Linked DNA regions of Styela clava. The protein of the gene in region 2 interacts with the protein of the main gene of each other region in a pairwise test. Links are inferred from orthologs where the notes say so. Each region holds a gene or a part of one and is shown on either strand. Other genes may lie near its edges.

What was found.
Region 1: the proteins of actin-binding protein WASF3-like (region 2) and abl interactor 2-like interact in a two-hybrid assay, tested with the Drosophila melanogaster proteins (2 studies listed by BioGRID, with this or other methods). The link is inferred for Styela clava from reciprocal best matches to the Drosophila melanogaster genes SCAR and Abi.

The regions. Positions count from the first base shown.
Region 1 is NC_135252.1:4,673,138-4,689,999, forward strand, and holds the start of abl interactor 2-like, read right to left. Parts: upstream 6,297-16,862; 5' UTR 6,197-6,296; coding exon 6,080-6,196; intron 5,748-6,079; coding exon 5,580-5,747; intron 4,895-5,579; coding exon 4,785-4,894; intron 4,247-4,784; coding exon 4,100-4,246; intron 2,781-4,099; coding exon 2,683-2,780; intron 2,265-2,682; coding exon 2,166-2,264; intron 1-2,165. Other genes in the region: inhibitor of Bruton tyrosine kinase-like, read right to left, coding at 7,610-11,791; nascent polypeptide-associated complex subunit alpha-like, read right to left, coding at 13,845-13,859, 14,170-14,295, 14,537-14,659, 14,999-15,148, 15,434-15,532, 16,115-16,251, 16,650-16,679.
Region 2 is NC_135259.1:22,309,176-22,325,689, reverse strand, and holds the start of actin-binding protein WASF3-like, read left to right. Parts: upstream 1-9,873; 5' UTR 9,874-9,994; intron 9,995-10,875; 5' UTR 10,876-10,880; coding exon 10,881-10,986; intron 10,987-15,768; coding exon 15,769-15,930; intron 15,931-16,295; coding exon 16,296-16,449; intron 16,450-16,514. Other genes in the region: uncharacterized protein LOC120337403, read left to right, coding at 6,505-6,602, 6,940-7,915.

The DNA.
Region 1 (16,862 bases), on a different chromosome or scaffold from region 2:
TGTTAGATTGTGTTAGTAAGCTCGAAGCCATAAATATCATTGCACCAGTATTAAATAAATCACCCTGCCAAATTTCTATTTATCAAATATGAAATAATGGATCAATAACATGCATCAGCTAATGATTAGGATATGAATATGAATCAAATAAAACTTGAAAATGAATGATGAAAAATGATGCCTAACTTGCAAATCCATTTTCCATGCAAAACAAAGCGTAAGTAAAAATAAAACTAAATACAAATACCAGTAAATAGAACCTAATAAACAGATATAATTTCCCAAAATGGAATTTTTAGTAAGAATGTAGAAAAAGAATGAAAAATAATGTAACGTAATAATGTAAGAATAAGAATGTAAAATAATATGATATACGAGGTGCGGCTAAAATGAAACGGGACTGACGTCACAGATTGCGCAACACGATTAACCATCGGTAATCAACACTTTTGCAGTGTTGCGTAATATGTGTTCTTTGTTTAACAGCTGTTTTGACACAATATCGCAATTATTTTTGCTTTTCAGGATCCATAAGTGAATGTGATGAATTTCTTGTTGAAAAAAAATGCTGTGCGAGGTCTGATTGAGTTTTTTGGCGATAGGGGGTTCAATTAAAGATTGACGACTGAGCAAAGAATTAACATTAAATTTTGTGTCAAACTTGGAAAAACGGCGACTGAGACTTTGCAGATGTTGCGTGATGTTTATGGAGATTCTTCCATGTCCAGAACAAGAGTTTTTGAATGGCACAAGCGATTTGTGGAAGGCAGGGAGGATGTGGAGGATGATCCGAGGTCAGGGAGGCCTTGCACTTCCACTACTGATACCAACATCGAAAAGGTTTGGCAGTTGGTTCGCAGTGACCGTCGCTTAACAATTCGCGTCATTGCCAACGAAATTGGGATGAACAAAGAAACGGTCCGCACCATTTTGGTTGACACTTTGGGAATGCGAAAGGTGTGTGCCAAAATGATGCCAAAGGCTCTTGAGTTGACTGAGGAGCAGAAAGCTCAACAATTGAATGCATGCCCAGTTGACATGCATTTTTCCAAGTTTGACACAAAATTTAATGTTAATTCTTTGCTCAATCGTCATTCTGCAATTGAACCCCCTATCGCCAAAAAACTCAATCAGACCTCGCACAGCATTTTTTTTTTCAACAAGAAATTTATCACATTCACTTATGGATCCTGAAAAGCAAAAATAATTGCGATATTGTGTCAAAACAGCTGTTAAACAAAGAACACATATTACGCCACACTGCAGAAGTGTTGATTACCGATGGTTAATCGTGTTGCGCAATCTGTGACGTCAGTCCCGTTTCATTTTAGCAGCACCTCGTATATCACATTATTTTACATTCTTCATACTATCAGTCGAACTCGTAGCATTTCTGTCTAATGAAGTTTATTCTGCAGGTTGATTATTTACAAAATAAATTAACCACAGAACTGATATTTTCTTTATTACAAATATCTATTTTTGATAATAATTTAACATGACAATCTCATGTATTAATAAATACTTGAGACATCAAAATATTGAAAATTCTTTACCAAACACACAAAGATTTTTTTTAGTTATTAGTAGGAATGTAAGTCAAAGGAATGGTTTTAGGGAGTCAATTGAGGCCAATTACAAGCCAGATCTTAAAGATACTAGCAAAAAAAAAATTTGAACAAATTTTGTCAAGTATTAGAGGTGCATTTTGTGTTTAACATCATTCAAAATCTGGGTATTTTGTGTAGGTTTTATAAAATCAGTTATTAAACTTTTGTATACTTTTTCTAAATTATTAATTTGTGTATTACATCCAGTTTTTAGGTTCTGTGAAAGAAATTTTGATTGCTTTTCAGAAGGGTGGAAATAATTTTTTCGAACCCCCGATTTGAATCTGATATCGATTTATTTTTGGCTGGTACGGCTACGGAGTTCATCTGATATATGAAAAGCATAAATAAATCCTGTGATGGGTGGGACTTGGTGAATTTTTTGTCCCATCCGACATGGAATTACATTAATTTTCCATACCAACATGCAACATCAAAATTCAGGAGGTAAGATACCATTTAGCATTCTACAAAACTGTGAGATAATAAGTGGGCTACTTGATGTAATTTTTCATTATTCACTACATTAAATGAATGCGGCTCTAATACACTTACCTGATCCAGGGTAATAACCACCACTGGAGCTCATACTTCCAGAACCTGAACTGCTGTTACTGTTTGTTCGATTTCGATACATGGTGGGAAGTCGTTTTGCTTTGTGAAAAAATTCGATGTAAAATCAAAAAATAACAAAAAAAGGCAAAATTATATATATTGTTAAAATAATCGAAATATAAATAGAAACAGGCGAAACAATATAAATTAGGGATTGTTGAAACCGGAAGAAGATTTGTGAAAAGTACACATTTCAACAAAAGACATGCAATATATGGTAAATTTACCACTTATTTGCAAGTAGCATAATCAAAAAAATTTTCCAGAACAACAAATAGGTTTCAAATATCACAGAAGGCGCAATCATGTAATAATAAATTTCAATCATCCAAAGAAGGAAAATCATGAATAGGTCACCATATTATTGTCACCTGTTAAGTAAGCATTTAGGCATGCAAAATGAAAAAGTATTTATAGAGCATATAAAATGATGTTCTGTTGAAATAAATAAACTTACTACTTGCGGTGAAGTCAGTTGGTACAGTCGGTGTTCGCACAGCTCGTATTGTGCCATAACCAGTTGAACTGGTGACACTTTTCAAGCTGTCACGTTTCCTGGAAATGAACAAAACCAAAATTTAACTACCAGATAAAAGATGTGGTCATGGTGGTGGTCTGGCGATTAATGGCATTAGACACATGCCATGCCAAAATCTCTGTTTCAAATCCCATGCCAACCACCCCACGCAGGGTGTAATAAATTGGGTAATGTCAAACTGGTAATATCCGATCCTTCCAATATGAAGTAGATTCTCACATAACAGTAGTCTCTTGCGCAAAACCTTGTTCGGGGCAGAACACATGTAAATATTTTGTATAAAAAGGCATTCAAACACAGGCGAGTATATTATTCATGTTCTTATACTCAGCCATAACCTTGGATCTATCTAAGCATAGTCAGTAATGAATTTGTTGAAGATAAATTTTCTATGAGTCAGTCATTTCCCTGTCTTTACTTCTTACAAGCTATGTATAGACACTGATTACTCTATCTATATTTGTACAATTTCATTCAAATAATATAATCAAAATTTTGAAACTTCATTATCTTGAGATATGGCCAATTGCTAACAAATACAATCTAATTCTCAGAACCATTCCATTTAAATATAGAGACATTCAGAGCTTAAGAACATTAATCCAGCAATGTGATGGAAGAATTAATGCCCACAGATTACTAGAAATGAGAACAGAATAAGATTCGGTATTTTGGAATCACTCAAATAATCTAGAATTGTTAATAATTCTGAATTCATGATCAAACCATTAAAAAATTTCATGCCTATGTATAAGTGCAAACATGAGACACTGCTACAATCATCATATCATAAGCATCTGCCAACATAAGAATACAGAGTTACATTGCCTTTCAAATTGCAATAACATGATTACTAACAATAACAAAATTTCCTGTGCTGCTGAAATATCATGTATACATTTTTTTCATTTTAAAATATATGATTGTGCTCGCGATACAACATTGCAACGTCCAACACCAAAATAGGAATGTCATAATTGAGCCTGATAATAACATAACTGGCCCCAAACAATCTCAAAATACTCAGAATGCTAGGTATCAAAGATCCCTCTCTGGTTTTAACTCCAGTGAAGTCATTGTTTATCAGTTTGTCAAATGTCAATTCAGTTTGTCAAATGTTTGGTTTGTCAAATGAGCAAATTACAACGAATTGCTTTAATAGAGATTTCGTCATGAGCAAAGCCATGAAAAATCATAAATGACTTGGAACAAGCATTAGCACAATAGCTCATCAAATCCTGAACTATTCAATTATATTAGCATTTTACTACCGTAATAACCTATAACATTTCGGTAAACATTTTCCAGAGGATACATTAATAGGATATGAATTTACCTTCCATCTACACTTGGACTTGGAGTTTTTGAGACTCTCCTCACATTCAGATTTCCGCTCTGAGATCCTTGGTTTGCAAGTTTCACACCATGTCCTACATCATCTAATTCAGCATAATCAATTGGTTTTCGTACATACTTGACAGTTCTGTGAATTGAATAAAATATAGCACCAATAAAAAGACATCATATTGCAGTGTATGGGTGTTTGAGCATTTCTGGTCTGTTTTTAAAAAAACTAGATTCAGTATATTTTAAGGTGTTAGAATACTTGTGTGATAAAAATAATTGTTTCAAATTTCATTGAACAGTTGTCTATTGGCTTATTTTAGAGCTCTCATTAATATTTGAACAGATTACCACATTTCATGGATAATATTAATAACAACACTAGAATCTTCTACCACTAGGTTCAATTTTATGAAGGCCATGGGCCATGGCCCTTTTTTCAACTGTAGAAAAATTTTAAAAGCTTTAAATTTACAGAAATTTTGACTTGAAATGTTGTTCAATTAAATTGATGGCAATTCAGCTACAAAGTGATATTAAATAACCAATACTATAAAAATAACAGATACTATTAATAATTCCTATATTAGAATACACATTTTGTCCATAAATACAACATTATAAATTGAAAATTTTCTGTTGAAAGTAAAATATTCTAATCATAATAAACTGTGCACCTGTCTGGATTAGATGGTGCAACAATCTGATGATTTCTTGTGATGACTTTGTTTGTCGTGAGAAGACCAATTTCTCTCCTTGCCACCTTCTCTTTATGAATATCAACAGTCTAAAATGAGAGCAATTGAGTTGTAGTGATAGTTTGTATATAAAACAGAGCGGCCCAAAAAGAAGACACAACAAACTGCTTAGTAATTATTTCCACGACAATGAAGAAAATTTATTTCACACTTGAACTTATGTTTGTGCATGATTGTACCCAAAAGTTGCAGTAATCTTGGACACTTTGCACAAACGTTATGCTCTCATCAGAATATGTGGTGCTCCCGAAGTATGCGAACCAAGATGGCGGACATCGGATCGTAACATGGGTAACAGGTTAGGGTTAGGCGATAATTTTTTTCCAATTTTCCTTATTTTAGTCCTATTATCAGTTCGAAGACTAGCCAAGAGCCTCCCGTAGTATTTAAACCTAAAATTATGGCCTAACCCTAACCTAGTACACATATTACATTCCGATGTCCGCCATCTTGGTTCGCATACTTCAGGAGCCCCGAATATGTTTTAAATAAGCTGGGTTGTGTTATTTGGATCGCCCTGTGTACTAACTTTAATTAAATTTGAATATTCTTCTTATAACTTCCTTTACACATATTTCGGTATAAGTACAAATGAGATTCGGAAAGTAAATTTACTGGCTGAATACATTGCAAAATATTGGCTAAAATCAATATATAAAGAATTAAATTAATCGAATAAATTCTGTAGCAAAAATAAGAAACACGTTATATTACCATTGAAATATTATTTATTGACGACTCCATGTTTGCAAGTTCAGCAGCCTGTATATCAAGCATATGAAGCATGTTGCTGGCTAATGTATTAATCTGGTATGCAACAGATGCAAGAGACTGAGTTGTGAAGTTCTTTGTTTCATCAAGTGCAGTCTTTTTGTTGTCAGCCTAAAAAATAGTACATGGTAATTTAATTAATCTAGTTTTTAGCAAAAAAGGTAAATAATACACTCAGTCATGATAATATTTAATTCACCAGAATTAATCACATCTACTAAAAATTAGGTATATAGAAGCGTTCATTTTCAAAATTAACCAACATAAAACCAGGGGATGTTGGCATTTCAGAAACAAACATTATCAATAGGTATACATTTCCTTTCAACGTTTATCTATTGTAATCAAATAAAATAAAAATATAGTGGACCTAATTATCCACTCAACGAAAGTCAAGTGCTATTAATACCAAAACATGAGTGCACATTATGATCTTCACTTACATCGACATACATCTGCTGACAATAATTTGCAACATTTTCTAAATTGGCTTTGCTATCCAAAAGAGCTTTTCTTCCACTTGGGATTTCCTCATGAAGTAAACTATCAAGCTCAGCCATATCGGACTATCAAATTATTCGTTGAATTATCAGACGATCAATATCACTGCATTATTATTAAACCTATAGATATATCGATAATACTGCGATGAACCTATAATAAATAAAGCACAGATGCTATTAAGCGAGCAATACAAGGTAATTCAGAAGTAGAATTGAAACGAAACCTGATGTATTAAACTGATAAATATATCTGAAATGTTTTCCATCATATCACTTGCTAGGGTAGCTCAAGACAAGCAAGCCCAAAATACTTAAAGAAGTAAAGCAAATGCAACAATAAGTATGTGGCGGCATCAAAACAGTAAACTAGTCATTGAACCATGAAAAATATGCTGTCATAATTGATAGACAACTTGAAAAAAATCTTGACTTGTAATATGCATGTGTGATGGTGATTTTAAATAACAAACTACAATTTGGTAGAAAGCATAGATTTAGCCCAATCACAATACAAAAAGCAGGAATGTGAAGCAATTCAACTCTTGTGCTAAACTTACTTTTTTTTGGAACTTCAACAACAATTTATTTTCACTTTGACTACAATATGATGAAGATATAGTATGGTTCAATTAAATGTTCGGTAGTACCATTGATATAAAAGTAACCACAAGCTATAACACCAGCAATACTGGTACATATGGTGTTAAAAATAATGGAAAAAAGTGGTCTCTTCTCTGATTAGGTATTTATCTTTAAGTGTATGATGACAAACATATCATTCATTTTTTTCATAAATATAATTTTCTCGTTTAGCTTTAAATGGTTGTGAAATGTGGGACCTTGCTTTGAGCATATTGTAAAACAGACTATTAAAGACGCCTGAAAATATTCGTACTCCACTATGTAATACTTTACAAAAAAGTAAATAACATTGAAACTATTATGCCTAAAACTACACCAGCACCAACCTTTAATATAGAATAATGCTTCACAAATGCTCATTTAGTACAGAGAAGAAAAAATAGGAAGTTCCTTACGTTTTAAGACATATATGAGAATTGAAACCAGAGACTGATCTGCGCTCTGAAGTCCCGAGTCGAGTGTGTTTTATTATAATATATTCTTTTATTTGGCAAAGAATCGTAAAATACCTTTCTTCAGATGTGATTGGAATATAAAATTCAGAATATACAAACCTATCTCTATCAACATAGCTTCTCAAATTTAATGACAAAAATATTTATGTACCAAATACTTCTTCTGTTCATACATGATATCTATGGTTGGTTGTAATCCATAAAAAATGATATTTTGAAACTTCAAAAAATAATAATAGCAATCAAGTATCATATTGCACAAAGAAAACTAAGGCACAAAAATATCAATTTTGCAATACAAACTGTACTAAGGCAAATCCTCAGCATCAAATGTTATTTCACATGGGTTGCTCTTCAATTCATGTCATGTCATTTAAGTGTACTTTGCTGAGATCCTTTCAACAGTGAAAAATTGTTCGTCAATGTGTGGAGTTGTGTTTTGGTAATGCACTTTCAGTTCTGCCATCGCTTGATCTTCCAGCTGAATATCATGCAATGGTTTATTCATTCTTTTTAAACTCTCCTCAGCCTGATTCATGGTGCTTTGCATTATGTCTCTAAACGAAGAATTTGGTCGGATTGCAGAGTCTTTTGATGTATCCTTTTGTAAAGTTTTAGGCGCCATTTGCCATGGACTATCTATTTCTGATTTTGTCATTTTATCTGGTGATACAACTCTTGGACGTTGCACAATAAGGCTGGGTGAAGTTGATTGTTCTTTCATGACATCCCAGAAAGACCTGGAGTCTGTTCTAGGTGGACTAGCTACTGTACCCCAAGCATTAATAGGAGGCGAGGTAGCAGCAGGGATAGTAACACTCTCCACTTCTAATTTAGCAGTTTCTTTTTCTAACTTTTTCCTTTGTTTTTGAGACAACTTTTTTGGTTTCATTGTAATAGCAGCACCAGATCCGCCATGGTTTACACTACTACTATTTTTAATAGGAATAGCAACAGGATAAGTTTTGGTTTCTGCAGCAATACCAGCCATAGAGCCCCATGGGTTATTTTGAGTTATATGTGATGATGGAGCAGGATGATTTGGTTGTGATAAATTCGAAGATAGACTGGGAAATTGAGATTTCTGAGTATCCATGTCTTGAAAATTAGATTTGTTTATATTTTGTGGACTTGAGACTGGCACAAAACCTTTTTGTATCGGTTTGATCTTGACAGCAGCTAATTTTTTATCAATATTATCGTTGAAATCAATATGAGTTGAAGCATTATTATTGGGTGGAGACACAGACGTATGAGAATCCAGTTGTGTGTTTTCATTAAGTGAAGCTTTATTCTTTGAAGATGCAATTCTGTCAACGAAACTGTCAATATCTTTATCATTCCTAGACAAAAGATCAGACAGAATAATGCCCCCAGTTGAAGATTTTGAGAATGATTTTTTCCTGCTTTTACTACTTCGTCTTTGCCCAAATGACTTTTTCTTTTGGGGTGAAGGCGGCCCTTCACCAGGCCAGACTGAAGATTTATCAGTTGGAGATAAAGGCTCAAAAATTGGAAAGAGAGAGCTGGATTCCAAATTCTCTGGTACATCGAGAAGTGGTGGACCCTCAGTACTAGGTGGCATACCTCGTAAATATACAGCACTGATAGCTGATCTGTATGAATCTTCCATCTCTTCCAACGTCGAATATTCTATTGAATAAAAATTCGGTGTATGCATGAGTGCTGGTAGATGATGGATTATAAATTGTCTACATGTTTTTATTAGCTGTGGACAGTGGAACGCAGACGCAAATTCTATTATCGAAGATACATTCTTCAAAGTTAATAGTGAAGCAACCTGAACTTCTACGATGTCCTTCAACCTATTCATCAGTAGTTGATCAGCAGCTGCCATTACTTCACACAGTGTTTCTGGTGACAGAAAGTGGTTCAATACAAAAGTGGAATCAGTGTAGGAGAACTCCAGCACATATTTGAAAATATCTGACGGAATCGGCACCTTTGTGATCATACCTTTACTTTCCGCCCATTGTGATAATAGCATGCTTCTAAAAAACTCTATTCTAGCTACCAAAATACATTTGTGGGCCCTTAAAATAACTCCATCGGAACATTCTAATTCAATATCACAAAGACTGTGAAGTTTGTGGCAGTCGAATGAAGGGAAGATAGCTTTAAAGCTACTCGTGCCCTTCTTCACTTGAATTACGCCATCCTGAAGAGTTATAGAATCGAAGAAAGATCTATTTATACCAAGTTTCTTTGCCAGAGTTTTAAACTGTGAAAGAAGATTGGATGTTGAATTGTGCTTGGAAGATTTTTCTGATTTTGATTTTTTTGTATGTTTATCCGATTCTTGATAGACTGCAAAAGCAGAAATACTACCATTTGTAACTTGAATTTTCCCTGACAAATCAATTCCATTTCTTGCCGAAGAGAAGTTTGTGATTTTGTCACTTTCCCAATAAATTCTGGTTTCTGTTGAATTAATATTTTTAGCAGCAGCTGGAACAGTATTTTTTGGGCGTAACAATTCGCAAGACTCACAATATATGAACTCAATAAGATTTCTTAACACATAAGGATCACAATTTTCAAAAAGAAGATGATCAATGTTAACTGTGTAATTTTCATTCATAAAGACACCATTCTGTTCTACATCCTCCGATGTGATTTCATCCTCATTTTCGATGGTACTTTTTCGCGTCTGGTGTGTGATAATTTTTCTCAGAAACTGAGAACGCGAGGCAAGAATGAATTTGTGGCAAGGTATTGATAATAGTATATTCCCTTTGCTATCAACAGCGGCTACAACCATGTCATGGACATTATCATTTTCAGTGACATCTTCCCATAATTTCTGAATATTTTCTTGCAGTTCACTATCGCCAACCGTAGGAACATCAGTGGAAAAGATACGTGGTTCACTTTGCAATATGGCTCCTGCTTTTGCTTTGGGTCCGATGTAACCAGAATGTGCACGAAAAACACAACATACCTGATCTAACGAAAATTCTTGTACAGAATCAGCATCCAACATATCCAAGCAGCTATCATATGCCTTTGTATTTACCGCTGATTGTGAATTTTTTCTTGGAGGTTTGGGAGCTTTCCAGTTTCCATACTTTGCAACAAAAGCTTGTCCTGTATTTGTGACTAACAAGGCAGTATGTCCATGATTGCAAATGGCTATGTCTTTGAAAAGAAATGATTGCGGCAGGTTGAATTTACATCTGTCGAGTGTTCCATGAGCCTTACTCCATGACAATATATCACCAGATTTTTTGCTCATTATGACATGTAAACTGTCATCTTTCAACAAATTGTGAACAGAGTGAAGTCGTTGATCAATTTGAGAAAGAGCCGAAACATCCAATCTTCCTCCACCTATTTGAACTTTTACAATATCCAATTGTTTCGATACTATTTTCCGACAAACGTAATTTTGTAACAAGTACACAGTGCCTTGTCGTGTAGAAACTATAGTAGCAGAATCACATGCATGAACACAAATAATACCATCCCCTTCTTTATAAACTCCTGATACTTGCCGAGGTTGTTTTACGTAAAGGTCGTTTTTAGCATGACCTAACTGACCAGCATTCGCACCAAAAGTGTATAAGCGACCCTTGTCAGTCCAAACAACAGTATGCAATACACCTGCAGCACATCCAATTACACGTAGAGTTTTCAAAGCTCCGTGAACTCTAACAGGAACTAACTCACGATCTGATGATGAAGACACACCAAGAATGTGATGCTTATTCAAGCCACAAACTAATAGATGACCAGAATCTGTAGTGAGTACAGTGTGATTCAAACCAACTGCTGCTGATAACACACACACACCTATGCTAAGAGAAACTTGTGCTGGTTCAAGACAAGCCTCCTGATTACCATTTCCTAGCCTTCCACCTTCCCCATGTCCACACGAGTAAACAGACCCAGATGTGGTAACAAAAATAGTATGGAATTTAGCCGTAGCAACTTCCTTAATATTGATATGCCTTTTGACAAAGAAATCCACAGGTTCTGGTAACTTGCACTCCTTTAGATTTCGTTGCCCTAGAACAAAATTGTCATTTATACCCCATGTATAGACTTCAGATGTATCTGAGTTATTAAGAACACAAGGCATTTTATATGTTTGCCTTGAAAATCTAAGATACCTTACCCAAGGTGAACAATCGAGCATGGCAATGTCCATAGGTGTCATTCCTTCCTTGTCCCTTACCCACATATTTGCACCATGTTCAATGAGCAAAATTACACAACCAAGTCTCCCGTAATACACAGCTCTATGTAGTGGTGTCCATCCACTTTCTCTGTCCTGGACATTTAAGTTACAATTAAAAGTTGCAATGAGCCAATCCAATACTTCTATTTTGCCACATGATGCAGCTAAGTGGATAGCACTTCGTCCCAAAGTATCACAACGTATGGTAGCTGTCGGACAAGAAGTTCGAATATGTTCTTTAATTTGCAATGCATTTCCTTTAGTAATAATGCAGTTGAGATCTGCAACACATTCTGGACTGCGGCATTTTTGGCCGCATTCAGAGTTTTCATACCATTCTTGTGGAACAGACATACTATTTCCAAGCTCACCCTCTTCAAACGCCCACCTTCAACCTCAGAATAACTAGATTCATGTAAAGGTTATGCCATATTACAGTATTACATCTAATTTAAATATATATCAAACAATATTTATCACGGTATGTAACTTACACACTTTTTTTTTTTGATTGGCTTACCGAATAAGTGATTTTAATAAATATGCAAAGAATGAATAAATGTACAAATTAAAATAAGTCCATATTCCATTGAATTCATAATCCATTCACCATTTGTTGAAATTGGTTTTCATAGTTTTTTCATCATTGATTATTAGTCATAATATTGAAATTATCTTAATAATTGTAATGATATAATACAATAAAAAAATAAAAATAAAATTAGCAAATGTATAATAAAACTTATCATAAACCTACGTAATTGCTTCACATAAATTCTGTAAATCCTTTTCAAAGGGTTTGTTTACTCTGGAATTTTTTATACCGGTACTTTTTCTATGCTCTAGGGCCATTTTTATCTGTTTTTTAAGAAGTGTTATATCAGGTGTTTTATTTTCAAATATGATCGAATTTCTCAATCCAAATTTTATATCGAACTATTGATATTAAAAGAATAATTGCATTTAAGTCTACACTACTTAGCCTATATGACAAAATAAAGGATCATTAAAATTTAATAATATACAAGAATCATAATTTGTAACAAAATGTATTCTAATTAACTTTAATATAATTAAGAAAACAAAATCATCATAATTTTCTTGGTAAACTCACAAGACATAAAAATATATACACTTTTTTAAATGGTATTTCTTTCATTGGAGTATGCGCAGCAGAAAAAATGCTCAGGAATCATTAATGAATACTACTAACTAAGTGGGCTACTTACAGTTAGCATGCCGGTAATAGAATTGGTTACTGGACAGAGTTATCAAATCGCGCCTCACAAATTAGGGGTTTGCACTCACTGTTATAATTGATGTCTTTCAAAGTGGGGGCTGATATTGAAATCGAATCTAGAGTACCGGTACGGTACCGTACCGGTACCGGATCTAGGACTAGCTCATCAGTATCACAATGTCAGAAATCGGCCTACCTGTCTGCCTGTGTACATGCAATACCATTGCGTAACGTAACTAATCAAATAGCCTATCCGACATGGACTAGTAACCAGACGAGAGGACCCTGGTTAGCTATATTATCTTCTTTTCTTTCCCCCGGAATACCGTAAATATAAAATTGAAAGCAAATCACAAACTGCCTAGCAAACAACTCAGCTACGGGCACTGTGCCTCAAAGGCGCAGTTCTAACTTTTCGCAGAGAAAGATCTCTGTCTCCCTCAAATGGTGAAATGACGAGCTGGGCGTTTGCGAAATCATCTGAACCACGATTTTTTTTTACTAAACTAACGGTCTCGCGTCAGGCTACCGATCCAGTCGGGGAATTTCTAACCATTTCATTGAACCAGATGTATAGGCTTTTGCGGAGAATGAGGCAATAACCACCAGTGATTGCGCTAACCGGTTCGATCCGACGTCCTAATAAAATCATGCGCCAACCACAGAACCAGAAACGTGTCATGCCCAGAAACTCTGTAGCAAATAATCGTCTCCAAAGGAGATCATATTCTGCAAGACAATGTCATTATACGTCGAACTCACGTTACAAACAAAGTACCTGATGAGATCTAGCAGCTCTAGTTATAAAACTGTCTGAATCGAGTAGCACGGAATCACAAATTCCAATTCTAACTAACTTCCCTTTGGCTTCAAAAAATCTGACAAATTCCAATAAAACTATTTTTGGCCAGAATTTTATTTCTTGGGGTATAGCACATCTCCTAAACACCCAACAACATACTATTTCAAACACTTGTACATGAAAAATGGGACAAAATTACAAAAGGAGAACCGACAAATCATTTCGCAATTCATGCACAACAGCAACGCGTCAAAAATCCAAAACAATAGAACTGCATCATGATGATTGACAAGCTACACCACAGTATTTGTCATAGTGACGCATGGTTGAGACCAGCCGATGAGCATGTGCGAAATTTGCCTTCGCTACATAGTTAATTCCTGCAAAAAATAATGCATACATTAACAAAAAGTAATCCGAATACATTCATGGCATAAATGCTGAATAACAATTTCAAACTCATTACAGAGAGATTAATCCCCCGTCCACTGAGAACAATTAACTGGTAAGACACGAGCCCTGCACAGGTTACAGGAAAGCGAGTCGTATTATTAGATTTCTTATACCAAGGATCCTGAACAGGTAAAAAAAATAGCCAACTTTGATTTACCCAGAATGAAAGAAGCAAAATAATCTGATGTTATCCTATTACCACAGATCTTAAAATCGAAACCATTTTTCATAACTCACCATGATTGCATTGACAATATCATTATTATTCTTTTTGAGAGATTTAATGGCTTTGTTACGGGTCACGGTCGCTTGCTGCATAACAAGTTCAATGTCTTTACTTTCGACACCAGAGTCATCAACTTCCTGATAATATAAAACGTGAAATACATAACATGGAAAATTGAAAATAAAACTTTCAGTCTCAAAACTGCCATGGCCCAAAAGTGGAAAATTTTGCAAAATTTCATCAAAAAATTTGGGAATGAGAAGGTCGCGATGATTGGATGATAGAGATTTATGTTAATCTATCATAGAAATTTTATCCATTTCCCTACATTTTGAAGCCATATTACTATCTAACAAGAAGAAAGCAATAAACACAAACCTCATCATTATCACTGTCATCTTGAACGCTTGCAGCAGTAGTTGCATTTTCTGCGGCAGATGGAATTGTGTTTTTGAACTTTTCAGCTGCGGCATGTTGAGCTTGTTGGGACAGATCTTCAATCTTGAAAAAAAAATTTTTTTTTGATTCATTATAAAAAATACACCTTCGGTATATGCACTAGTTGTCACAACATTCGGAAAAATATTTTTAAGTTTCTATATTCTGCGGATAAAACTTGAATGCTCAAAAACTCAATCCCATGATATTTGTTGTGACAGAGCAATTGATGTAAAATTGCATTAGAAGAAGTAGTCTGCAGTCAGTCATATTAGTTTCACATCTAGTTCTCTGAAGACTATGTTGTTAATGAAGTCGGAACAAAGAGTAACTAAATAAATGGTTATTCCTGGGTGGGTTATATAAAGACAGAAAACAAAACAATAGGAAACAAAAATTTACCTTTGCTTCACCAAATACGATATACGTATCTGAAGCTGGACTTTTTAAAACATCAGGATTGTTGATAACGAAAAGAATATTCTTCGATTTCCTTATTGTTACGCGTGTAATACCAGTGATGTTCTTCATACAATTCAGCTTTGCAATCGCCTAGATATAAAGTTGGTAATCATCAAATTTATTATCATTTTATGTAAAAGTACCAATGTCATCTAATCAAATTATGAATATAGAAATAACAAAATAAAATATATACAAGTGACATTGTTAAACATGTCAAAAAACAAAATAATCCAACTTTTGAAAAAGTTTCAAAAATTTAGCTTATAATATGAAAAAAAAAGTACGACATGTGGCTTTGTACTACCGATTCTGCTTGACACAGTTCCAATTTTTACATTGCAAATTGTAAAATTCAATATCATGCCAACAAACCTTTCTAGCTTTCTTTTCATTTCTTGATTGTTTTGCCTTTACTTGCTCCTGCTCTTCAGCATCTCCTCCAGCACTTGCTTGGTTGAGTAAGTTCATCACCTTAAAAATAAAAAGTTGATTATCACTCACTCACCAAAGAACTCAGTTACCTATTAAACAGGTACTTACCTACTGAAAATTATTTAAAGTAACAGTGTAGTGATATTGTAATGTAACAATTGACTTACGCTAAACGATTTAAATTCTAAACATAGCGTAGTTCCCTATTGTTTCAATAAATTCCAGTAATTTTGTTACAGAAAAGTGTGATAATTTTCATACTGGGTAGCATGACCAATAGAAAGTGGAAAGAGACATAGTGGCACAGTTGAAAATATATAGCTGGAACATCAGTGATTAGTATATTGGAGTTAAAAGAAAATCATATTGAGCCCCATATATTAAACTCAAGCATGAGAGTCTCAGTCTCGGTCGAGTATGGTAAATTTCATAAAACAATGAGAATGCACGAGTACAAAGAAAAATATTTATTTTTTCGACTTTGGTAGTTTGGTACTAGTTTTGCCAAGGATATATCTTTTGTTGTCATTAACAACATATATAATAATGCATGAGCTCAAGCCAGTACCGGACTACTTTTAAAAGTATTTAACAATGACTAGAAAACAATACAAATTTTACATCAGCTGACAGAGAAGCCTTCGTTGCAGTCGCTGATGTTGTCTTGGGATCAACATGAGCAGATGCCGTTGATGTTGTTATATTGTCGACTAAATCTGGCATGGAGTCATCATCACTGTCACCATCTGTACCTGAACCTAAAAATAGGGAAATTTTGATTATTATATCATCAGAAGACTTGAAGTGTACTTGATCAAAAAGTCAATAGTCAATAAACAATTACAATGCTATGGACTGTTAATAACAACTTGAAAAATATTCAGAAATATAACAGCGATTTCATAAATATATGAACTCATCACACTGTTATATTAATTAACGCTGACATTTGGCATCAATTTTTTTTCAAGGGTGGTCAAAATCCTGTCCTGCTATTTGACATATTACAGTTGTAAGTATAGAACCAAACCTAATATTTCAACAAGTGTGAAGTGTTATCTCCTAGATAGCCCTAGATATAAAACTATTATTTATATAGCATTACCAGATCACAAAAATTTCAAACTAGTTAAATTAAATTCTAATGTCAACATACCGTCTCCATTCACATCCTTCACATCACATCCTGCAAAAATAAAAGAAATCATTACATAGAGTACAATACACGATTAGATTCAACTTTTTCTGATATAACTTAGATGCAATGATAATGTAAAAGGGCATTACACGTGTAAATATAAAAAAGGGGAACGATCAGAAAGAACGATTATTAATAAGATAATAAGATGAGGATATCACAATCTATCAT
Region 2 (16,514 bases):
GCCCCAGGTCCAAAAACCTTGCCCACCTCTGTTCTATCCTGATATTGTCCCATCAGTAATATCCTAATTTGTTTATTTTGATGGTGATGGCTGGTAACCTTACTATATTAGTAGTATTCTGTTATTTTCCCAAAGCCTTTTTATATTTATTCTGTTCGTCTTCGGCGCGTTATTCTCGCATTTTTACCCATGGACGGATTGGATAAAGAAAACTGACCAAATAACAATTTGTAATAATCACCCAATGACTTGCATCGACCCTCCAAGTTTCGAATATAATTAAGCCAAGAAAAATTTGTAATTCGAGATATATTTGTGCGGATTGCTGCCCCTGAGCTGAGAATATTCTGGTCTCGTACCTAATTTCTTTGGTGATAGGACGTTTACAGTAAAACCACCGTTTCGTGATATTGTGTTTTTTTGCAGTCTGTGTCATGCATATGTTTGAATCAGCTAAGGCCGTTGGTAATTTTGGTGTCGTATGTACAGATTATACTTGGATATTGTTGCTGTTATATCGTGCGTAGGTGTGGCCGTATTTGAATTTTTAATTTGTTACGAATTATGTGTGGCCGTGCTTGTAATATATTTTGTCCATAGATGATCCGTGCTTCATTGTAAATATTCATAGCTTAACAAAAATGTAAATAAATTCAAGCAATCGGTGGAGTTTGTGTAACGTCCCTCCTAGTTGGGATTTAGGGCGAACTGTTTTAGTTTTTTGCCTTAGAAGTTTGCACAGCGTTTCTCAAACTGCGTGAGAGATTGGCAAGTGTGCCGCGAAGCATTTTGGAATTTTATAAAATGAGCTATTCTTATTGTACATAGGCATGCACGCAACGGGTAAGCTTGGGAGCGCACTATCCATTTTTGCAGCCGCGATCGACTTCACTGAAATCTTCAAAATAACTCGCGACTGACGAATGAGTATGCTACTGAATATGCAGAACTGCACACACGCGTACAAAAAATTCGACCGATGCCAATTAGCCCAGCTTTGTTGGCGCATTTTTAATGAAATCGCAGCAAAAAATAATTTGATTATTTAATTGTACCCGGACTAAATGTTCATCATTTACTCAGGATTTATTCGAATCTTACAATTCAGGTCTAGGGCCTGCGTAATTACTTATCGATTTTAATCGGTAAGTATGTTGATAGGTGTTTGTCTGTCTGTTAGATGCACGCGATATCTCACGAAAGCGAAAATGAATCTGCTCCTAATTTTGCATGTGCATTCATCATATGTCAGACCAGAAGCCTATTGATTTTGGATGAATTATGTCGTATGATTAGCGAGTTATTCATTAATTAGTGATAGGACACAAGGTGTCACTATGGAGTAAAAGCGCTGTTTTGGGGATCCCCCAACTTTCGATCGATAAGTCTTCGGTCTCTGACCGATATTCTCGTTTTAAGTCGTTGAAAGTTCCCTATAAAATCTGGCGAAGTATTCATTTAATATCTGAACAGCGAAAAATAAATATGCTCAAACCATGAATGTTACATGACAGCTCAACCTAAATTACAATTTCCTCGTATTATGAAATCACAGAGAGAGTTCAATTGCTGCCAAAACAAGTTAACTGACTGCAGAGTAGCTGACGCTGCATTTTTGCATGTTTGTTGATATAGGAGGGAGTTACAGTAAGCAGTTTATAAAGTTATGCTAGTTCGCTTCTAAACGCTGCCTTACAACGATACAAGTGCACACTTTTGTTCGTTTTAATGTTTTGCTCTGGGGCACAAGGCCGGGCACCAATAAAAAATTTGAAAGGGGACCGTCATGAAATTTTTTTTCAAAAGTTTAGAAACCACTGGGCTAGTCCATTTACAAACCTTGACCGCGGCAAAACTTTGTTGCTACGTTATAATATGCTCTATCAGGCTGTATGTGATTGTGTATATCGTATTTTGCGACTGTACAGTACGCGATCGACTACTCAGTCAGTCAGTTTTCAGTAATTTATTTTTTCATCATTCCAAAGCACACAATGTGCCGGTCGGTGGTGTGGCTTGACACCGCACCCCTGTTAACCTGCGCGGGTTTGCAGGTTCGAATTAATTACTACGGTCCGGGGGACCTGGTTTCAAAACCTTGCACTCCCTCTATGAGTACAATACGTGAAAGAGCAACTCGAAATTCGCCGTCAACATCTTTTATACAGGATCGTTAATCGTTTTGTGATCAGTAATAAAGAGGAAAAGCTTCGTTCGCACATATAAGTAGTGCAAAACTGGAGCAATATTTCAATAGCTGCATTGGAAATGTGCTTATATTTTTCTTTTATTGAAATCCAAAACACATCAAGTGGAATTTCGCTGATTTTCAGTCTTAGCGTTCTGTCATTTCTTACTTCAAAGAAATCTTCTCGAATACGCAGGGGTAATTCTTTCCTCTAGCTCAAGTTTTATTTATATTCGATTATATACTACACGACTTCACGGAATTGAATTGGACTACTACTTGGAATCGACTACTACACGACTACAGGAATTTGAATTGGTGTCGGTCAAGCTAACGTAAAAGCAGGTTAACTTTACGTTAGTAGAGTAGAGTAGTAGACTAACATAAAATTAACAAAGGATAAAAAAAAATTGTAAAAAGAAGAGAAAAGTTGCAAGTCATGTGCGGCACACCTGGTATCGTCTCGCGGAGCACTGCTCTAGTAAACACGTTGACGAGGAAGTTGTTGTTGAACTCTTCTCACTCTTGTTGGGTGATATTTGTGGTATGGAGGATAACAATTTTCGGAATTGGTGGATGAGTGATCAATCTTTTGTTTCTCTACTTTCTAGATCAATTTATTCGGGAAGTTGGCTTCATTCAGACACGGTGTTGTTTTCTGGCTCTGGTCTGATGACAGAAGTGTAACTTGGGTTTGTTTGACTATCGACTTTATTTTTCGGGGTCTCTTCTGATTCATGGCTTGAGGCTTGTTTAAGACAGTGGCTTTTAACCAGGATGTAGGCTACCCAGTTTACAGAGATGTACCTCCGTACCGCTTATTTATATTTGGCGTCCGCATTTAGTCTTACTTAATCCATCGAGCACTGACTAAACTTTATCTCATTGGACACGCCCTTTAAACTAATCAAACGTCTTGTCGGAGGTAAAATATGTATGATTACATTTCCTACGAATATGATTCCCCTGTTGTCCCACAGAAAGTAGTCTGTTTTGGAGTTAATGATATCGATGGTGTCCAACCAAAATTCGGGAACTTTTTTTTATTTTTCTTATTTTCACGGATTAGATTACGATCTGATTTGGATCAATATTCATAATATGAAAATGTCATATCCGAATCGTAACGGTGCCTCAAGTGATCTTTTTTTTTTTTTTTTTTCATGCTTCAAGTAATCGGGAACGCGTCCCATATTGAGTGGTAGTTTAGTAACCTATCAAGGTAAATAATAGCTCATTTCTAAGCTATCAATTATGGTAGTTGAGATTCCAAACCATAAACTATCATAAAAAGGCTCCGCAAATGAGGCAATTAGACGACAGTTCAGTGTTTCTTCGACGTACGCTTCAATAACATCATTGGCATACTTGACCCGTATAAAGCTTCGCTAAAAAAAGTGGGATTTCACGATCGGGACGTTGGTAAGGCGGTGGGTCGGGGATATGAGGTGGATGGGTCGCGGATATGAAGATTGGGGCGGTGGGGCGAAGATAGGGAGGCTGAGGGAGGTCAGGCAGAGGGTTGAAGATAGAAAAGGTACCCTCCACACCTGTTGTAATTTCGCGCCGGAGGTGTGTGAGAGACTGCGTTAGATTTTTTTTTTGGTGGGCAAGCACGTGTTTTCTCATTTGAAATTCGCTGCTTTAATTCTCTATATATGTGCGTTCTAAACTCCATTAGAGATTTATATCTTTCATGTGCTCAGATTTTTTTTCATTGTAGCCTTTATATGATGGATTATGAATTCGAAATAAAATTACTTTACACGAGTCACGTGACAGACTATTAAAACGGGCGGAGTTCACTCAGGTGTGCTATGACGTCATGTTCGCAGCTGCTATTTCCAAACTGTGATTTATCACAGATTCTAAAACGAAATTTTATATTGTTTATCTTCCTCTGCGAACAATTCTGTACGAATTATACGATAATGAGGTCGTAAATATTTTCCTCATTTCTTTTGGATATAGTGAGAGAAGTGTTAAGTACCGGTACCCGTGCAACAAATCTAGATGACATTGTCGTCCAAAAGCTAAGAAGTCTGACAGCCTATTCCTGTACCGGTATTCTGTCTTAGGAGCCCGCTAAGATCACAGGTTCAGCTGTTTTCAACTCAAGTCTTGCAGTCTAGAATAAAGCGTTATCTTTTAGAGATTTCATTTCATAGGTTTTTGGTGATTTTTTGCATTTCTGACAGCGAGCGATGTCTCCCATAGATTTTGACTTGTTTATTTCAGTATTTCTATGCTATATAGGAATCTCAGACCCGAAATTTACAGAATTCGGGATCAGCTTTATTTATATATATTTACTGCAAGGCTAATTCTGGCGATTTCTCAGCTACCATAATCGTATACGAACATTTGAAACATCTATCAGAGACGGAGGAGGTCGTTGGGATTCTATTACATTTAATTTTATCTACCTGTCTTATTTCAAGCGCAATACTTATTTTACTCCATGTAAATTATCCACTGATTCAAGCAATTATTTGGCTTTTATCATTTTAAATTGAGTTATAAGGACTGCCCGATTTTGAATCGTGTCCATATTTTTTGTATAATCGTATTATTTCTATTTTATTTTTTGGTGGGTGGGCACGTACTTGTACGTTTTTTAAATTTATTTTAAGTTATGCTCGCCTTCCAGGTATCTCTGTATTTGTTGTTTGTTTACTTTTTTGTATTGTTCTGTATTTGTTGTCTGTTTACTTTTTTGTATTGTTCCGTTTTAGTCAGAGAGCCGAAATAAAATGATTGATTGATTGATTGATCATATGGGTATTAATACTGTCGGACTGCTGGACTGTGATGCGACAACATTGGACTGTTTCGACCTGCACAATCCAGCAATCGGTTGAAGTTTCCATTGTTTTGTAATCAGTAATCACAGAATCAGTACCGGTAGTTTAACACCAGGATAGGATAGGATTTTACATATTTATCCCGGAGGAGAGGAAAGCCGATACAAAGGCTTATCCATATGGCGAACCACGGCCTCTCGTCCGTTTACCATTCCAAGTCGGGTATGGGATTAGTTATGTTGTTTGTTTTCGGAAGCATGGACTTGGTGGTGGAGGAAGCCGTTATCGACCAGCAGTTACGTGAACCACCCATTCAGATATTGGAAATACATGTTGTACATATGGCAGTATGGTGATAAAATAAACAATGATTACAAAACAATGGGAACTTCAACTTGCAAATAAAAGTTTTGCCGGATTGATTTTATATCGTGTAGCGCAGGGGTCGGGAACCTATGGCTCTTTTAGTGACGGCATATGGCTCCCAGAAAAATCTAATATTCTGAGGCTATGCTTACTATTGTTACGAGATTTCAAACTCTTTTATAGCCACATTTGGCAAAAAAATTGCCAATACGTTTGTAAAGGCACGCCCAACGCATGTAAGAGAATTACCAGATACGGTAGGCATTGTGACAAAACTAGGGGATTCTGGAACATATTTTGTGACATCACAAAGCGATAGAGTCGCGGAGCAATCGAGAAAAGCTTTTTGTACATACTGGTTATACAGTATTTGTCATATACAGATCGGACTAGTAAAGCTAGTGTTTGAAATACTACGGGAATGCCTAAATGAAAGAAAGGAAATGAGTATCGTTGATTTCAACTTGTGCTGCATGTGAACAGTCATTCAAGGCCCGCAGCGACAACATGCAGCATCAGAAGTCACTTTTAATGTATATTGACATCATATTATGTGTTGACTTTTGAGTAAAAATTTCAGGTCTGATAAGTTAAGAAATGCATCTATGGCTCGCACCAAATGCAATTGAAAAAATGTACTTTTTATGGCTCTCTCAACCAAAAGGGTTCCCGACCCCTGGTGTAGCCTATGTTTATTTTATTGTGTTCTTTAACTGCTTCTGGTGGACGGCAGGCTCTTCCTGTTTTCAGTACTTGTATGTATTTTAACTTTGTCCGTGAGTTATGCCCGTTCTTCAGGTTCTCTGCATTTTGTTCATTCTTTCATTCTTGTTTTGTTTTATGTCAGGGTGACCAAACTACAAAAAAATAAAATTGATTGATTGATACTCAGTCTTCAAGGGGTTAATCTCATATCTGTCATATTCTGGTACCGGTATTTACCAACTGCTGGTACCTCAGTACAGCGGTACCTGAAAAGTCAGACTGAAGACCCCATATTTCAGTTCAGCGTGTAGCAATCCTTTTTAATTTGTTTGCTTATCAACCGATAATTGTTTAATTTTAGAATTTCAAGTTGGCACTTGGCAAAGTAGATTAAAAACACAATATGAATATATTTTTATCAGATTTAACTAATTATTTAAAATGGCGTCGTCATCTGCCAGTTGGGTTAAATTCTTCAAAGATGCTGGAATTCCAGCTGATCAAAGTGCGAAGTACGCTGTGATGTTTTCAGATCACAGGTAAGATGACCGATCGCCATGTGACCAAAATTGTTGTTTTTTGCTAAAAATATCTTAAGCTCTATGGTAAAACTTTTTTTCCGAGGAATTCAATGATGATGTTTTTAGATTGCGCCTTCTTAGTTTATTGCACAACTTCATTTTAATGTATTTTAACTGAGGGACAACTGTCTGTCCGCTGTCCACTCCATACGCCCTGGAAGAAGTGGTGTCTGTTTATCAGTGAAGTGGAATCCTCTGAAACGAGACAATGTCTCTAGATCTGTAAAGTAATTCTCACACACCCCTATTCTCATTGAATAAATAACCATCACCTATAACTCTTCTATTTTCACAGAATACAGAAAGGAATGCTCGGTGATTTGGATCGCGATATTTTATCCGACATCGGAATAAAAGCTGTCGGGGATAAAATGGCGATTATGAAGCACGCCAAGTTCGTGGATGACCAAACAAAGCGTGACGCTTCTTCGAAGATTCTTGCAGACGGAATTAAGACTCTTGAAAATCGTACGAGTAAGGGATCGTCACCGGCACAAAGAATGATTAACCATAGCATTAATAGCCGTTCACCTTCTGGTAGAAATTCTCCTAAAATTGTTGTCGAAAATGCAGAAAAACCGAAAAATTTTGCTGAAGATTTTGACCCAAGAAAGACGGTGTTTGATAGACTAGGGGTCGATTCACCGAACAAATCGCCTTCCAAAAGTAGCGGGATATTTAAGCGGCTTGGAGGGGAATTACCCAGCGAGGAACTCCCTTACGCTGGCATATTGAAAAAGCCGTCATCGCCTGTGACAACAAAAAAGAAAATTCTCATCGTTAAAAAGGCAAAGTCAACGAGTGTTCTCGATCGGCTTGGAGTGCAAAAGTCCCCTCCCCAAGTTGTTAAAAAACCCGTTACTGTCACCATGGCAAAGAAAGTTGTTTCAATTAAAAAGAAACCTGTTGCCGTAGCAACAACGACATCACCAACCAAAGTTTTAATCAAGAGAAATGTAGAAACGACAAAAACTGGGATTAAAAGGTCATCTAATGTACTTGATCGTCTCGGAGATATCGTTACAAGCACAACGAAGCAAACCGAAGAAGCGACTGAGGAATCTCCAGCTGTTAAAAGAAAATTAATAGTTGTCGGACAAAAGAAAAAACCTGCAACTTTGAAACGCAAATCGACCGGTGACATTCGGGAGAAAATTTCTGCTAAGAAGCCTATTTCAAGTAACACTGTGTCCAGTACTTCTTCTGCTGGGATTTTTAAAGGTGCAGCTCAGGCCAGTTCTAGTGTCTTTGCTCGCCTCGGTGCCAAATGATAGCAGCCACTAGCAAGGATGTCCAAAATAAATAGAATTTTGGAGCTCCAGAAATATGTGCACCAAGATGGCGCACAACCTGAACATAGTATATGTACCAGGTTAGGGTTCAGGTTGTGCGCCATCTTGGTGAACATACTTCAGGAGCGATGAATTTTCGAATCAATTTGGAATTTATTGTGTTCAATATTTTGAATTAATTTTTGAAATATTCAAAATATTTTCATTTTAAATTATTTTTTGAAGATTTGAAGTCACACAGTATCATGAAGTAAACCTTAATATTTCTGAAATTAGAAAACTAGCAAATTACTGTTTTCTGTGGTGTGTTGACCTAGTGGTCGGCAACACAGATTACTTAGCTTGGGTCCAAATTACTTCCCCCCCACCTTACCCAGGGTGTAATAAATTAGGTAGCCAATGCCAAACTGGAAGGAACAAGTCTTTCGAATAGGAGTAACTCCTCTCATATCGTTAAATGTCAATGGCTGCTTGTATAGAGCCTTACAAATGTTCTTACTGGATGGGCTGTGTGGTTTGGCAATGTTTTCTGGTACTGGAGCTTGAATCAAATTTTCAACTTTCCTGTGGTCTTGGATCAAAATTTTTTTGGATTCTGAACATGTTCTGTTGTTGGGACTGGTTTAAAAATTCAAAAGCATGCATTAGTGCCTTCAGAAAATAGGTCGAATGAAATATTCCTGGTTTGGTAAACGGGGTGATGGGAGCTGATTCAGCTGAATAATTTGTAATTTTTGAACTCATTGAAATTTACTGTTTTTTTTGTATTGATCTGATGTTTTTGCAGTAAAATTGTATCATATGTTACAGATTTTATACCAAAAATTCATTTTAAATATTCAAATTGGATTGCAAGATATGATTCAAGGACTATTATTAATATACGATCACTTCTATCCAGCTGGTTAATTTCAACTGGGTATTCCCCCTCCTTTTTTATCCTTCAACCATCTGTTTTATGATATTTTGTATGTTTTTCAATGATAAGGACAATACTATTCCGACCCCTTCAATATGGAAATTCAGTGATGCATATCTGGCCAGAATCTAGAATATCAAAATAGTACTAAGTGCCTTAGGAATTTACTTTAAACGTGCTGTGCACTGCTGTCTGAAACTACTATTTTCATAACTTGAGATAATCAGACTTTTTTAGGAAAAAATCTTTTAAATATTCAGGTAAATCATGATTTATGTCAAATGTTATGAGTCCTATTTTTACTCTTGATAAATTCAATACAAAATTATCAAATAGGATTTCAGAAACCCAAGCTATTTTCAGTCACCTGGTACTGTTCACAGGGTATTTGCACTCCCATAGTATGTGTACCAGGTTAGGGTTAGGCCATGATTTTATTCCGATTTTCCTTATTTTAGTTTTATTACGAGTTCAGGGACTGTCTGTGTTACCCAAGTGAATATATCCCCTGCCCATAGGCTTCAATCCCTTTACGCAACTTGATGTAAAGTGGTCGAACAAAATTAGTTACCTTGATATTGGTACACATACTTCTGGAGCTCCAAATGCTCTCCTTTCATCATACTGTTTTTTTTATTTTTATCCTGAGTATATATTGTACATTGACATGTTCATCCTGACCCTTTCACGAACAAATTAGTGTTGCATGATTGGTCAGATTATTCTCACCTTAATAGAAGGTGCCCATGTTGCATGATTGGTCAGATTATTCTCACCTTAATAGAAGGTGCCCAGTGCTGTAAGGACATGCTTGGGTTAACAATAGTTCAAATTGTAATTCTGGATAAATATAATTTCACATACTGGTTTAGTTTAGATTCAAATGCATCGCAAAGTTTGAAGCGTTTTTTGGTGATTGATAATGTCTCAAATAGCATTTGCATATTATTTTGTATTTAATGCAGAGCTAGAGTGTGTGAAAGTCGAAGACATATTTTTGATTTTACACATAGATTGGTACAAATTTCACACAACTGTTCATGTGCTTTTAATAAACCCTTTTTTATTAAATTTTAGATGTTACTAATTATTTAACATAACTTAGCTAAGATAAAATTCAGAAGTAGGAACAAATACCGGTGAGTTTGTATTTTACTTTATTATTTTAAAGAGCCTACAAAACTGTCGACTCATTGTTACTTATCGATTTTAATCGGTAAGTATGTTGATAGGTATTTGTCTGTATGTCTGTCTGTCTGTTAGATGCACGCGATATCTCACGAAAACGAGATTGAATCTGCTCCAAATTTTGCATGTGCATTCATCATATGTCGGACCAGAAGCCTATTGATTTTGGATGAATTATGTCGTATAATTAGCGAGGTAATAATTAGTGATGGGCATTAGTTGATGGGACACAAGGTGTCACTATGGAGTAAGAGCGCTGTTTTGGGGGATCCCCTAACTTTTGATCGATAAGTCCTCCGTCTCTGACCGATATTCTCGTTTGGTTGTCAGTACTATTCAGCTTCCTTATTTTGCCAATATAGAAACGATAAGAAAACTTTAAAATCTAAGGCTTGGCAGCTGGAGTTACTGGAGATATTAATTGAAAAGGGTATTACACCTAGATAACAGTTAGCAGTCAAATTATTTGTAACCATTTACCATTCAATAGCCATTACCGATTATTTATTCAACATCGGTTAGCCATTACCGTTAACCATGAACCATCCATTCATTTATTGATCAATCGTTTATTTTTTTTATATTGGTTGGTAACCGTTTGTTTAATATTGATTATCCATTTGTATTACCATTTAACTGTTTATTTGTTTATTACCGGTTATTAACCATATATTCAAAATTGATTAATTGCTTATTTATTTAATATTGTTAACCGATTGAATTACCGTTCATCTGTTTATTCATTTTATCACCAGCTAAAAATATATTCAATTACTGGTTAATCCTTCATTTATATTTTAATTCTCTAATTTCTCTTCCATTCTATTCCCAGTTACCATGCCGATCGTTAAACGAACAGTCTCGCCCACAGCTCTGTGTCGGCAGAAAATACCAAGGGGATTGAAGAATGAACTGGAATGTGTGACTAATAATACTTTGGCCGGTGAGTTGGGGGTAGTACATGGTAGTGAAAAAAGTTTTTGTGTTTTTATGGCAGCGGTTCCCAAACTTTTAGTCGTGCAGCGCCAAATAATCACAGAAAAAAACTCACGGCGCACTTCCATAACAAAAATGCTACTCATCAAATAAAACTCAATTTTGTTACAGCTAATTTGTACTTTATGCATTATAAAGTCACCCATGTTTGCTAAACTCGTTTCAGCAGATATATAAACTATGCACCTAGTAACTTTTGGGAACCAATATTTTATAGGATTTGGTTTAATATTCAATCAGCAATACATCTAAAATGATAAGGAAATTTATAAGAGAGAATTTTATCTTGTATTTATATGTAGTATTACTTTTGTCTTTTATAGACTGATATTTATCCCAGCATAACTGTATTTTTTAAATGAAAAGCGTACAATAGGAGGGAATTTTTTTATTTTGAAAAAGGAAATTTCATGTCTTTTTATATGTATTATATCTTTACTGATTTAGTATTATTACAATACATGGACACATTCAATCTGTGCAAAAGCTACAGTGCTGGTCGCCTGTGTCATTAGCTAGGGGTTTATTAAAAATGAAGTGCTTTTATGCTTAGTTTTCATCATAGCAAAGGCTATTAATTTAAACCACCTTTCCATCCCTGGTTCTTATTAATTTTACTACGTCTTGCGAAGGGCTTGTTGAAGGCCCTTTTGTAGATCATTTGTGCTGTAAATTCTCACAGTAGCCTACATATAGTAGAAAAACTTTAAACTTTTAAGCTTTGAATGGTTTGTTATTGGGATGAGAAAGTTCTCAACAAGAAACCGCCTTTGATGTGATAAATTATGTATTTGGAATGTGAAAATTGTCACATAGTCACATAAATAGGATCCTGTTATCAGATCCTTTTGTTTATTATTAAATCCTCTAGATTCGATATTCTGATTTGCACTTATAAATGTAGGGTAACTCATAAGAAAAAACAGAACCCAGGTTATTTGTAATTCTAGAGAGAAAATAACTCTCGTGCAAAGCGTCCTAGATTAATTAAATCTCTTGGTGCAATCCTGCACAAAAAAGAAGTGTTAAATAAACATTCTCCATTTTCATAATAATTACAAGAAGTTTGTTAGTTCTGCCCTGCATAACAAGTTCTAATTTTCTTGGGATGCAATCTGGTGATATTCAGTTCAATTTGATGTTTCGGACACAGGATATTGGTTTTGGATTTGTTTGAATATTAAATTATTTGATTTTGGTGATCTTTGAATTTTCAGAGGCTCGGCAGTTGGTTCATCGTGCTAAGCCTAGGAATACACTTGCAATCCAAGCGTACCTTTGATTACCAGGTTCGCACTTTCAGTCCTTCGGGGAATAATTATATGCAAGATTATAACTACTATAACCGACTTGACGTGTTGTCGTGTTTCACTACATGATTAAGCTGGATATGAAAATCCCGGGAGAAACGATTCATCAATATAAACAACAACAACAGATTTACATGAGATATTGCGCAATAACCCATGCATTATTAAATCACAATCTGGAAACAGACGAAACCCCCTCGTTGGTCAAAAATCTGAATAATTTATATTTTCGCCTGAAACGATACCTGAGGTAGTGATAAATATTTTAAAATCTTCTGAGATAGATTTATGTTTGAACAAGCATGGCCCAAATGTTAAATGAGCGTCTATGTCTGTCCCACACGTTAGTTATCATTTTAAAGTGATCAATATGACCCTTGACCCAGGAAGTGTGGAAGTGAATATTTATGTTTAATTATTTAGTTCCTGCCAGTTGGTTGACGCAGTTAGTATTCATGAAGGTTTCTGGTACGAGGGCTTTGTTAGAACGGCTGATTTACGGTTTGTGAAAAATAGGTGGATTTCTGCTACTGGGATTGCTTCACAGAGATGAATATTATTGTTTTGTTAGCGTTTTGTGATACATCATGTTAATGAGTTGACGTTTTCTGTTTTTTGTTGACGTTTTCTACTTTTCATCGCTAAACCCACAGAGTGGCTGTATTTAGAAAATTTGTACAAATTCCAACAAATTTGTCAGATTATGTAAATTAGTTAGGGGTCATAGGTGATCTCAGATTTTGTTTTGTTTCTCACAACTGCTGATATATTTCAGGATATTTTAAATAGTGGATATTTAATAAAGCAACTGGCTTTGACACATGTTTCAAAACATGACCACTGAGGTAGTCATTGATGGTAGGTTTCTTTTATTATTTATGTTGGGGATTTCCCTACCCCACACTGTCTGGAAAATCAATAGATTGTTGGAAATATATCGACGCATGAAATCCAAATTGGGCTAAGTCCATTTTTCTAGTTTTTCTTTTTTTTATTTCTCTAATACCTTACATCGAGGATGTCTAGTTTTTATGGTCCACCAAAGTTACAATGAAGGCCATATTTAGATGATATAAAAAAAAATTGTGCTTCGCCCCAATTTTTTTGGGGGGGGGGGGGGGGGGTTGGGACTTAACCCTTTTTGGCTCTCAATTTTCTGGACCAGAAACAATTTTATTGGACTTAGGGCCCCTTTATTATGTCATTATAGAGGCTGGTATGGACTTAGCGCTTTGTATTATATTTTTTGAGAGGAGCTATGTCCAAAAAACGGACTTTGCCCCAACTTACAATGCAGTTATCCAGCGCTAAGTCCACTATAGTAGACACAGCTCTGTTTAGTTCTCAAATGCCCTAAAAAAAGCAGGGTTATGTCCATAGCTGTCTTGAGATCTAGAGCACCTAGAGATAAGGCAAATAGACCAAAATGTAGAGCTAAGTCCAGGAAAATCAGCAATTGAAAAATGTCATTTTTTGGAAAAGTGGAGCACTGTTTGGTTTTGAGGTGTCGATATGTTTGTTTGTGAATTCCAGAGCTTTTATATTTTATGCTGGGGGTTTCCCTACTCCCCATTATCTGGAAAAATAAATATGTTGTTGCATATATATATATGTCTGCAGATTCCAGAGCTTTTATATTTTATGCTGGGGGTTTCCCTACTCCCCATTATCTGGAAAAATAAATATATATATATGTCTGCAGATTCCAGAGCTTTTATATTTTATGCTGGGGGTTTCCCTACTCCCCATTATCTGGAAAAAAATAAAGCATTGACCTTTTTCTGATTCTTCTTTAATGCTATTGTATTTGGAATAGTAAATTATCCAAATAAGTAAATTTAGGAATAATAAAATATTGAAACACGTTCATAGCATATTTTGGTTTTAGGAATAATCAACTGGTTGGAATAATGGAGCAAAATGGCGTTTATTCACTTCACAAACTATGATTTCACCTTTCGAAATACCATTTTAGTAGGAATAGTAAATTATTCAAACACAGTAGGTTTAGGAATATTTAACGGTAAACCAAAATAATATGCACAAATTTTTGGATCTAGGGATAAACTAGGAGAGTTAGAATAACATAGCTCTGTGAAGCATAGCTCAATTTATCATATATTCCAAATTTTAGGGATGATCAGCAAGTTACTCTATTCAATGTCTTGCTGCACACTTGGCAAGAAATTCACTTTATATGGATGCATTTGATTATTTAATAGAATGCGTTAGATCTGGTTAGTTACTCAGTTTGCCCAGTCATGGTCTTTGCTCATCAGCATGTACCTTATATTATGATTGATTCAGAGACAGGAAGTCTTAGAGGAAATGAACCTTATAGTAGGCATTAGTGAAGGGCTGGCCCTCTACTATAATATTGTAATATATTGACCTCTTATTAAGTAGACTTTGCAATCAGGAATTATGTAAAATGGCCGTAAAAATAGAACAATCCATCAAAACATTGTTCATCTCAACTAGTCTGCATCCATAAATCCATTTTTGGAAATTTTTACTAAAAATATGAAACCCATTATATCATTCTTTCTAGCATTTACAAATTCAAACTCATTTTTTATGCAGACCCATTTGGCGATGTTGTGACATTTCAACTGATAATAGTACAAATAAAGCTAATATTCTTCGATGATCACTCTGAAATTACTTGAAAGTCAATAATTCGAAATACGTTAGGCCTATAAAATAATGTTATATAACATATTCTGTATGTGCCAATCCAGGATAAATCAAATATTGGGACATGTTTGTTATAGATGAACAGATAAAGTTAGTCTACAGATCTTTCCTATTAGATTCAGTTTATTGGTTTACACCAGCATGATTTTAAATTTCCAGATTTTCAAGCATACTCTGTAAATTTACATTAATATAAACAGATTTTATCATGTTGTCAAAGGAAAATGGAGAAATTTTGTTGATTTGTGCAATATTGATAACAATAAAATAGTTAGCTGTTCACACCTTTTTGCATTCACTGTTCGTCGTGGTATTTAGAGTAGCATTATTTTTATTTTGTTATTCATTACCGAAAATGATGCGCATAAATATGACAAAGCATTCTTTAAAAATTAGAGAGCTGGAGGTCTACACAACCACGGGTTGCCATTTACAATATTGTAAGTCTTTAAAGATGTCCTGAGACTTTTCAAGACGATTAAAATGTAATTTTAAATCCTTCTTAGGAACTATCTGACTCTTAGATATGAACACTGTGATCAAGGCTTCACTCTTGTGTGAACATTATTGTCTGTTACGAATTTTTGTCTTTCCCTAGAGTATATCATTTATCCTATTTCTTCCAAATTGAAGACGTAGATCCTTGCACAGGGCTTTGTTCAAAGCGAACAGAATGAGGGGAGCGTTGTATAAAAACATATAATTTATTTTGATATTTTTAGGTGTCATCCATCAGCTTGCCTCGCTCTCCCAACATGCGGAAGACATCTTTGGTGAACTTTTCTCGGAGGCGAACTCATTCTATGGTCGAGCATCGTCATTAAAAGATAGAATCGATCATCTGTCAGTCAAAGTCACCCAGCTGGATTCCAATGTAGAGGAAGGTAAACTTTTCGAACTTGTATGCCCTCTCGAAAACATTCGTGATCTCCTATTTTAAAATAAAATTCTCATCGGTTATTTAAATTTTGGGTATTCCCGTAGTGTGTGTATCGGGTTAGGGTCAGGTCATACTTTTATTCCGATTTTCCTTATTTTAGTTCTATTATGAGTTCGGGGACTGTCTGTATTAGCCAAGTGAATATACCCCAGGAAAACTGTTCTATAGCCTCCTAGAGTTGACGAGGGCCCACACTCTGACATCAATCTGATCTGTTCGAATTTGCCGATCAATCATTATTTAGCAGCGTATAATTTACTGGCATGTTTCAGTGGAAAATTACTAATTACATATTTTTTTTATGTTCAGTTTCACTCATCGACATCAACTCAAGGAAAGCATTCAAATCGTCAGTAACAACCGACCAACAAGTAGTCTCAAGGCAGTCTCTGTCTCGTTCCGTATTGAATACTTACAAACAAGCCGACGCCCCACCCCCACTGCAAGAGCTCAATCAATTCAGGTTAGTTTGCTTTAAGAATTTGAATATTTGTATTTGTTTAACAGTAGCTATTCTACTTACTCATT